Linked DNA regions of Rattus norvegicus. The protein of the gene in region 1 interacts with the protein of each later gene in a pairwise test. Links are inferred from orthologs where the notes say so. Each region holds a gene or a part of one and is shown in the gene's direction. Other genes may lie near its edges.

The links. The genes of interacting proteins can lie anywhere in the genome.
Region 2: the proteins of Exoc1 (region 1) and Resf1 interact in a two-hybrid assay, tested with the Homo sapiens proteins (2 studies listed by BioGRID and IntAct). The link is inferred for Rattus norvegicus from reciprocal best matches to the Homo sapiens genes EXOC1 and RESF1.

What each region holds. Positions count from the first base shown.
Region 1 is NC_086032.1:31,996,916-32,000,968, reverse strand, and holds part of Exoc1 (exocyst complex component 1), read left to right. Parts: intron 1-312; coding exon 313-540; intron 541-735; coding exon 736-868; intron 869-1,987; coding exon 1,988-2,097; intron 2,098-2,812; coding exon of another isoform or gene 2,813-2,866; intron 2,867-4,053.
Region 2 is NC_086022.1:184,083,437-184,087,489, forward strand, and holds part of Resf1 (retroelement silencing factor 1), read left to right. Parts: intron 1-430; 5' UTR 431-483; coding exon 484-4,053. UniProt on the Homo sapiens protein: Plays a role in the regulation of imprinted gene expression, regulates repressive epigenetic modifications associated with SETDB1.

The sequences.
Region 1 (4,053 bases):
TGTTGTTTTTAAGAAGGTAAAAAGGACAAATTATCACGAGAGAAATGTAGCTGAAATAAATGTGGGGAGCAGGGTAAGTGTGGGAGAGGGAGCGGGATCTAGAGCTTCATTAGAACAGAGCCTCTGATATCTGCACAGTTTCTGAAGCATGCTCTCAGACCTCAGTGCAGAGGCCAGTGAGCCTTCCACACTCTGTGTAGAGCGTGAACTGGAAACTTGCTGACTAGATGCACAGAGCTCTGGCCGCCCTTCACCTCTGCTCTCGAACACAGTCAAACAGCAAGAGCTGCTCAATTTTCTTTTACTTTGTAGGCCAACATTCAGTCAATCATGGCCTCTGAAAAGCAGGTGAACATCCTGATGCAGTTGCTGGATGAGGCCCTACAGGAGGTGGACCAGATTGAACTGAAACTGAGCAGTTATGAGGAAATGCTCCAAAGTGTAAAAGAGCAAATGGACCAGATCTCCGAAAGCAACCACCTGATCCACCTGAGCAACACGAATAACGTGAAGCTCCTGTCTGAGATAGAGTTCCTTGTGGTAAGCGTCTTCATAGGCGACCAGGGGGGCAAAGCAGGACGACTAGTAATGTCGTGTAAAGCTCATGTATGAACCAACCTCCTTGTGAGATCAGGATTTAGAGTCATTGCAGACTGAGTGATAGGCTTGAGTAGCGCCCTGCCTCTATTTCCCCCACAATTACACGTGCAAGTGATATGTTTGAATATGTTCCAGAACCACATGGACTTGGCCAAAGGTCATGTAAAGGCCCTTCAGGATGGAGATCTTGCTTCTTCCAGAGGCATTGAGGCCTGCACCAATGCTGCTGACGCCCTTCTGCAGTGCATGAACGTCGCCCTTCGACCAGGTGTGTGCTGTAGCCATAATAAAATCTGAGAACCCAGACTAACACTGGGACTTGGTAGAAATACTTTGACAAGAAGTAACTTGGGCTAAGTGATTTAGGGTTACTTTATTAGCTATACAAATGGGTTTAACAGATTCTCCAACAGATTTCTATTAACACTAACTTTTTCATTTCAGTTCCTTCTAGTGGACCATCTTACCTTCACAATCTATCATTCTGATCTATCTAGCTTTACTTTTGGTTGGGGGCTTAGCATCTCACTACATAGCCTAGGCTGGCCTCAAACCTACAGTGCCCCTGCTTCTCAAGTGCTAAGAGAGCAGGCAGGCACCACCATTCAGGGCTTTACCATAATCCTGTTTAAAATGTGACTTTATTATTGTATGTGTACACACATATATGTGCACGTGTACACTGTGTGTAACAATGTACATGTTGAGGTCACAGGGCACCTTTGTAGAGTCAGTTCTCTTGTTCCACCTTTACGGGGCTTCTTGGGGTTGACCTCAGGTGTCCAGGTATGTGCAGGCACCTTCACCTGCAGAGCCATCTCACCGCCCTGTCAGTCTCTGCTTCTTTAGCAGAAGCAGGCGAGCACACGTAGACGCTGGGCCAGGGCAGAGAAGATGGGGTTTCCTAGGCAGTGGTTCCAGAACCTGACTGTGCAGTCAGATCAACTAAGCACTCATTGAGAAAGATTACCAGGCAGATGCTGAAGAAGAACCAGTATGTTGTGTTACTTTTCCTCCTTTTTAAATTTTATAGAGCAAATAAAAAAGCTTTGGATTCTTCAAAGGTTAAGTCTGGGTATCATTAGCATAGTATAGATCTGAGCTACAGCTCAGTGAGAGACCGTTTGCCTGACATGCACAAGGCTCTGGGTGCCCCGGGGTCAGGGGAGGATGGGCATGGAGGGATAAGCATGGAGAAAGGCCAACAAAATGGTCCTCAAGAAGAGGGGTTTGCTGGACAGCTGGGTGACCTGAGTTGGATCACTCGAACCCATGCAAAGGTGAAGGCTGAGAAGAGAGTCCACAGAGTTGTCCTCCGACCTCCACATGCACACTGGGAGACTGCCTGCACGTACCGAGTCACTGAGGGACTGTTGTTCTGACACAGGCCATGACATGCTCCTGGCCATCAGGCAGCAGCAGCAGCGCTTCAGCGAGCTGAGGGAGCATTTTGCCCGGAGACTGGCCAGTCATCTCAACAATGTTTTTGTTCAACAGGTAATTTTAATTTACTATTAAAACTGACATGTTTCCATTGGTCATTTATATGTTACCCTAAACTGAAATTCCCCCAAATATCGAATGTGTTCACTGGGGCTATAGTGTATTCCTTCACACGTGTCTGTGGTTTTAAGACTTTGAAATCTGTGCATAGTTCCTCACAGAAGTACCTTGGACTTAGGTGAACCTTTACACAGACGCCAAGCTCCTTTCAGCAGAAACTGACCCTAGGAGTCAGGTAGCTCCATTCATAGTTACATAAACAGTTGGCAGGCACCTGTTAACTTTCAGCCTTTGTGTGCTTCAGTGTTTCAAGGTGAGAATCAGACTTGGGTCCTTATCTTTAATGTTTCATAGGTTGTGTAGTCAAATACGGCATGTTCATGTAAGCATAACAGTTCAGCTGTGAATTTTAGTTGATTAAGTCTCCATATTATAAACTTGCCTCTCTTTTTGGAAAGAGTTGTTATAATTATCAATATGGGAGTGATATTTTAATAATGCCACGGGCACCTTATAAAATTTGAACAAAAGGTATTTTAATAGTTAATATAATTAGATTCTTGTGGGGGTTTTTTGTCTTTTATATTACCCATATTGAACAGAAAAATCAGGAGAAATCTTAATAATGAATAAATTCTCTCTGAAGACATCAGCTTTTCTTTGAGGTATCCTGAAATGATTGTCTTTATTATATCTTATTTCCAACTAGTTCACTCAGGCCCTCCTTCAGCTCTATAGCAGGTCCTACTTTCTTTCCGTTCCTGTGAGTACATCAAATCCGCTCAAGCTTCTGTCATTTGTTTTCAGATGTCTATAAAGTTTGCCAAAGTTAGCAGCAGAGTATTTATGCTTTCAGCTTAACTTACTGATTGAAGCTACCCATTAACTATAATTGTAATGGTTTTTAAATGTCCCATTTATCCAGACAGGCATTAACCACGTTCTGCTTGCCCTTCTCCCTGTCTCTCAGCTCCTTGGTTTTTTCAGTAATTACTTGTTGGTGGTTGAGGTGCAGAGTGGACACTGCTTTGGGATAAATGCTACTGATCCTGTCCATGAGCAGCCCAACATGCAGGGCAGGGAGACAGACACCCTTGGGAATGCAGCTGTCACTGTGGTTTTATTAAGCATGGGAGGGGGAGATTAGGGCAGACGCCCTCAACATTTCACTGAACTTGAAAGTGGCAAGAAGTCAACTGAAAAGTCACATAGGACACATTTGTCTTAGTTTATTGTTTTTAATGATATTGGCAGTGATGCTGCCCATGTGTGTAATGATGACAAGAATGTCTGTCAGCTGACAGTGGTCCTTTTGCATCCTTAACTATTGGTTATCAAGTGCAGTTATTCATTCCCTCTGCTTCTTTGCCTTTTAAACTAATGGCTTTGTATAAAATGAATGCTCCTCATTCCTGAAACTCTAATATGAAATGTTAACATGTGAGTGGTGCATGTTAAAAATGAGAATGTTGCAACAGCCTGTGATGTGTTGTTGAAAATGGCAAGGAAGATCATCTCTGTCGAAGTTAGTCATCGGGTCACTAGCAGAAGGGCTAAAGAGCATGGAGATTTCCATTCCAGACGGAGGGAAAAAATTGCTGGGAGGTTTGGACTAGCATATGATGGTGTGCCTCTGTCACTCCCACCTTAGTTGCCGTGTAATAACAGACAATGAAAGCATACTCCACTTGGACTAATATTTGGCTGTAGTAGGTAGCTCCGTGGTAACTTTTATTAGAAGTTCTAGTATCTAAGTGGATGCAGGGCACATGCTTTTAATCCCAGTACTTGGGAAGCAGAGGCAGACAGTTTCTGAGTTTGAGGCCAGCCTGCTCTACATAGAGAGTTTCAGGCTAGCCAAGGCTACATAGTGAGACTGTTTCGAAAACAAGTAAAAATTATAGTAGTGTGTGTGTGTGTGTGTGTGTGTGTGTGTGTGTGTGTGTGTGT
Region 2 (4,053 bases), on another chromosome or scaffold:
AGTTAGGGATAGAGTGAATGCTTAGCATGCCTGAGACTATAGTCCATCACCTACACCTCAAAAATGATAAAAGCAGAAAAGTGCCACTTAAATGTAACAGAAGGTGATAGCTGGTTTCTTCAGAGTGAACCTTTACCATTGATCTTGACAATTTTCTCACTTATTATTGCAGCTTCCATTACTAATTCTCTTTCCAGATTTAAGGGTACAGAGTTTTAATTTGAGGTCCTTCTTAGTTACCATAGACATGGTTTGCTTCTATTTTTGTTGTTTAAGTTTTGTCTAGGCGGTGTGATTACCCTTAGTTTGAAGCCAATCTGGTCTACAGAAGGAGCTCTAGGTCAAAAAGACTATTTCCAAAAGGGGGGTGCGGTAGGGGGATGGGAAGAAAAAGTTTTTAATGAAAGATCTTTATTTGCATTTCTTGCAGATTTATGACATTCAAAACCACAGACTTTACAATACTGCTAAGCCAGATCAACTATGAGTTGGAATGCAAAACCAGAGAATGCTGTTGCCAAACCCCCAAAGTTTTCTAAAACGCAGTCATCTATATTACAACAGTTTTTAATGACTTCTACAACTTCTCAAAGTTCTTTTAGCTATCCTGCCCATAACCAAGAAGCATGCATGTATTCCAGTAACTCAAATTCAGTTTCCCAGCCACTTCTGAGCGGCAGAAATTATATGACTCCTCAGACTCAGATCTCTGTTTCTAACATGCCTAGTAGGACAATTGTGACCTCACAGTCTTCAATGGAAGGAGTTGTATGTACAAATGTTAAAGGGCCCCAACAACCAAACCACAATTTGCAGACAGTGTCTTCAGGAGTTATGCAGAATGTCTGGTTTGGCTCATCCGTGAAGAATTTTATGCCTTCCCATACAGAAGCAACCATATCCCATAATCCTGATGGAAGGACTAATATGCCTTACATGCAAACACCACAGAGTCAGCTCGTCACATCAGATACCTATTCTATGCAACTGCAAATGGTTCCTTTTAATTCTGGAAAAGTTCCTGTAGCGTATCAAGGAAATCAGGGACTCAATCACTTCATACCAGATCAGCTGGCTGACTGGACACAGTATACATCCAGTGAACTAACTTATCCAGAATACAGGCCACCTCTGAAGCAATACTCCCGCATACTGCCAGCCACTACATCATTACAAGTTAAAAATAATCCGCTTCCAACTTACACACAGGCCTTACAGTCAAAGCATTCTGCACCTTTGTCTTCACATCCATATGCTGCAGAAACCAGCAAAAGACTCTCTGCCCTTCCTTACAGCTGTAGATATGGAAGCCAACATGTACAAAATACTCAGCCTGTTTCTAAACACTTGCCTATGGAAGTCCCTCAGAGTCCAGAAGTGCACTCATCTGAAAAAAAGCAAGATTCTTACAGAGGCTTTAAACAGCAGTGGCAGAACCCCAATGAATCATTCACCATTGGAAAATTCTCTGATTTGAAAATAAATGCCAAGCAGTCTTATAGTGACACTGTTAGATCTTCTGGGGATGGTGTTCAGGCGCTTGTTCAAAATAATCAAGAGAAAAGAAAATATCCCTACAGTCCAAGTACAAATCAAGTAATAGACACAAATGCCACAAAAGAAAAACTGGCGAGGGATATTAAATCACTAGTAGAAATAAAAAAGAAGTTTACAGAACTTGCAAGAAAAATTAAAATTAATAAAAGTCTTTTGATGGCAGCTGGTTGTAGTAAAACAGCCAATACTTCTTATACTGAACCAATTCAGCATTCTGAATTTTCAGCAAAAGAAATGTCTGCTAAAAATGGCAACGACTGCTCCATGGAATTGCTAGCAACATGCCTTTCTCTTTGGAAAAACCAACCTCCAAAAACCACAGAAGAAAATGTCCCAAAACCTTTAGAAGAAAAACAGTGTAACACCTCACGAATCAGTACAACGGTAGTTGGCAGTTCACATCCCACAAACGAAGTTCACGTTAAGAGTTTTTGTTCTGGTGTTGGGAATTCTCAGAAACTGCTGAGCTCATCACAAACAATATTGTCAGTTCTCACTCCGAGTGGTGAGTCTTCAGGTGTAGCTGTTGGAAAAGGAACAGAGCTTCAGATTGCTGTGGTGTCACCTTTAGTTCTTGCAGATACTAATCCCTTACCTGGAAAAGAGTTAGCGCCTGAAGTTTTACCAGAACCGCCGTATCCAGTTGTTAAGGAAGGTAGTATTTGTAGCTTACAACACCAACAGGCAGAAACTGCTGCTTTACCTTTTCACATTACAGGAGTAGTAGCAGATAGTAACCTGTCAGTGGAGATGTCTCTGCCTGCTCAAAAGGAAAAGCAGCATAAACCAACACAGGGTGATCCAGACATAGCTGATCATGGTTTAGGAAAACTTTCTCCCCTGGGTACCGAAGCTGTGCCTAACTCTGTGGATAGCACCACAGTGAGTGGACCCATGTTACAGATTGAAAGTATCTGTTCTCTTGCAGAAGGGGATGTATCTTACAATTCCCAGATAGCAGAGATATTCAACTCTGTACAAAATGAGCCCGAGAAACCTTCACCTAATCAGGTAATTAATAATCAACAAGAACAAGTAGATGGCACCACTGAAAATAAAGACTTTAGCCTTCAGAAAGATAAGAAGTATATACGGTATACATATGTTCCTCGTGAGATCACTGAGCAGCCAGAGGTGCTGCAGCCTGAAGAGCCAGCATCTTGTGAGTACGTGGAAGCAAACACAGAAACCATAGAGGAAAGCGGTAGGGAATGCAGTGGTGGAAAAGAAAGCACAGCTGAGGATGTCTGTTCACCGGCTGGTTTTCAGCAGGATCCTCACCCTCAGGAAACTGATAGTTTAAGCAATAAGTCAGCCCACTGTCTGCCTGCAGTAAACGAGATTAATGATGAAAGTGAACCTGTCTCATACCTACATGACCAGCTGTCAGAACTTTTAAAAGAGTTCCCTTATGGCATTGAAACTGTTAGCAGGCATGAAGTGTCTGTGGACCAAAAAAAGACACACAAAATCTTAGAAAATGAAACTGGCGATAAGACTAGTAACGTGTTTGGGGATAGCACAGACCAAATAAAAATTACAGTGTTAAACTCTGAACAAATCAAAGAACTGTTTCCCGAAGAGGATCAGCCCTGTGACTTAGACAAGTTGGCAGAACCTGAGGGGAAAAATGTTGCAGAAGTGAAGAGCCCATGTGACTCACAGGTCCCCAGAGAAGAAAGCCATGACTTTGGAATGTTGGACCCAGAGAAAGACAAAATCCATTGCTGTGCCTTGGGTTGGCTCTCAATGGTTTATGAGGGTGTGCCAAAGTGTCATTGCAGTTCCAATGAAGAGAAGGGGAAAGACCAGTGTTTGGATATGAACAGCTGCAAACAAGGAGAGCAGCCCTGTAATAATGGAATCACTATTTTTGAAATTAATCCTGTTTCTAATAACCCCAAAACTCCTCTGACCCAAGCAGCTGAGAAAGGCCATTTTTCTGAAATGCATGGTGATAAGACCAAAGGATCTAAAACAAAAGACAGCAGAGAGGAACAGCAACATTTTTCAGCTAAATGTTACAAAAAAGATAAAGATAATTTAAAAATGAGACATGATAGCTCACTGAAAATGGAGCAAAAACTAAAAAATACTTCATCTGAATGTGACAGACTAAATCCCTCAAAAAGCAGTAAAATAGCAACCCCCGAAATACTTCATGTAAAAACTTCCAATTCTGATAAAAATATGTCATTTTTTAAACAAGCTTCTCAGGAAAGCCTACAGAGAAAACCCACTTCCCAAGATTCGAATCCAGTAAAAGCACCTGTAGAACTTCCTTCAAATACAGATCCATGCAGGAGGAACACCTCATTGGTACAGTTTGTGTCACCAGAAAAGAAAAAACTAAAATTCAAAGCAGGTGGCTCCAGACTGAAATATTTTGAAAAAAGAAAGACAGACAACATGATTATACCAGATGTGGAGATAAAAAAGAAGAAATATGAAAAGCAAGAGCAGAACAAAAACGCTGGAGAGACACTCAAATTGTGC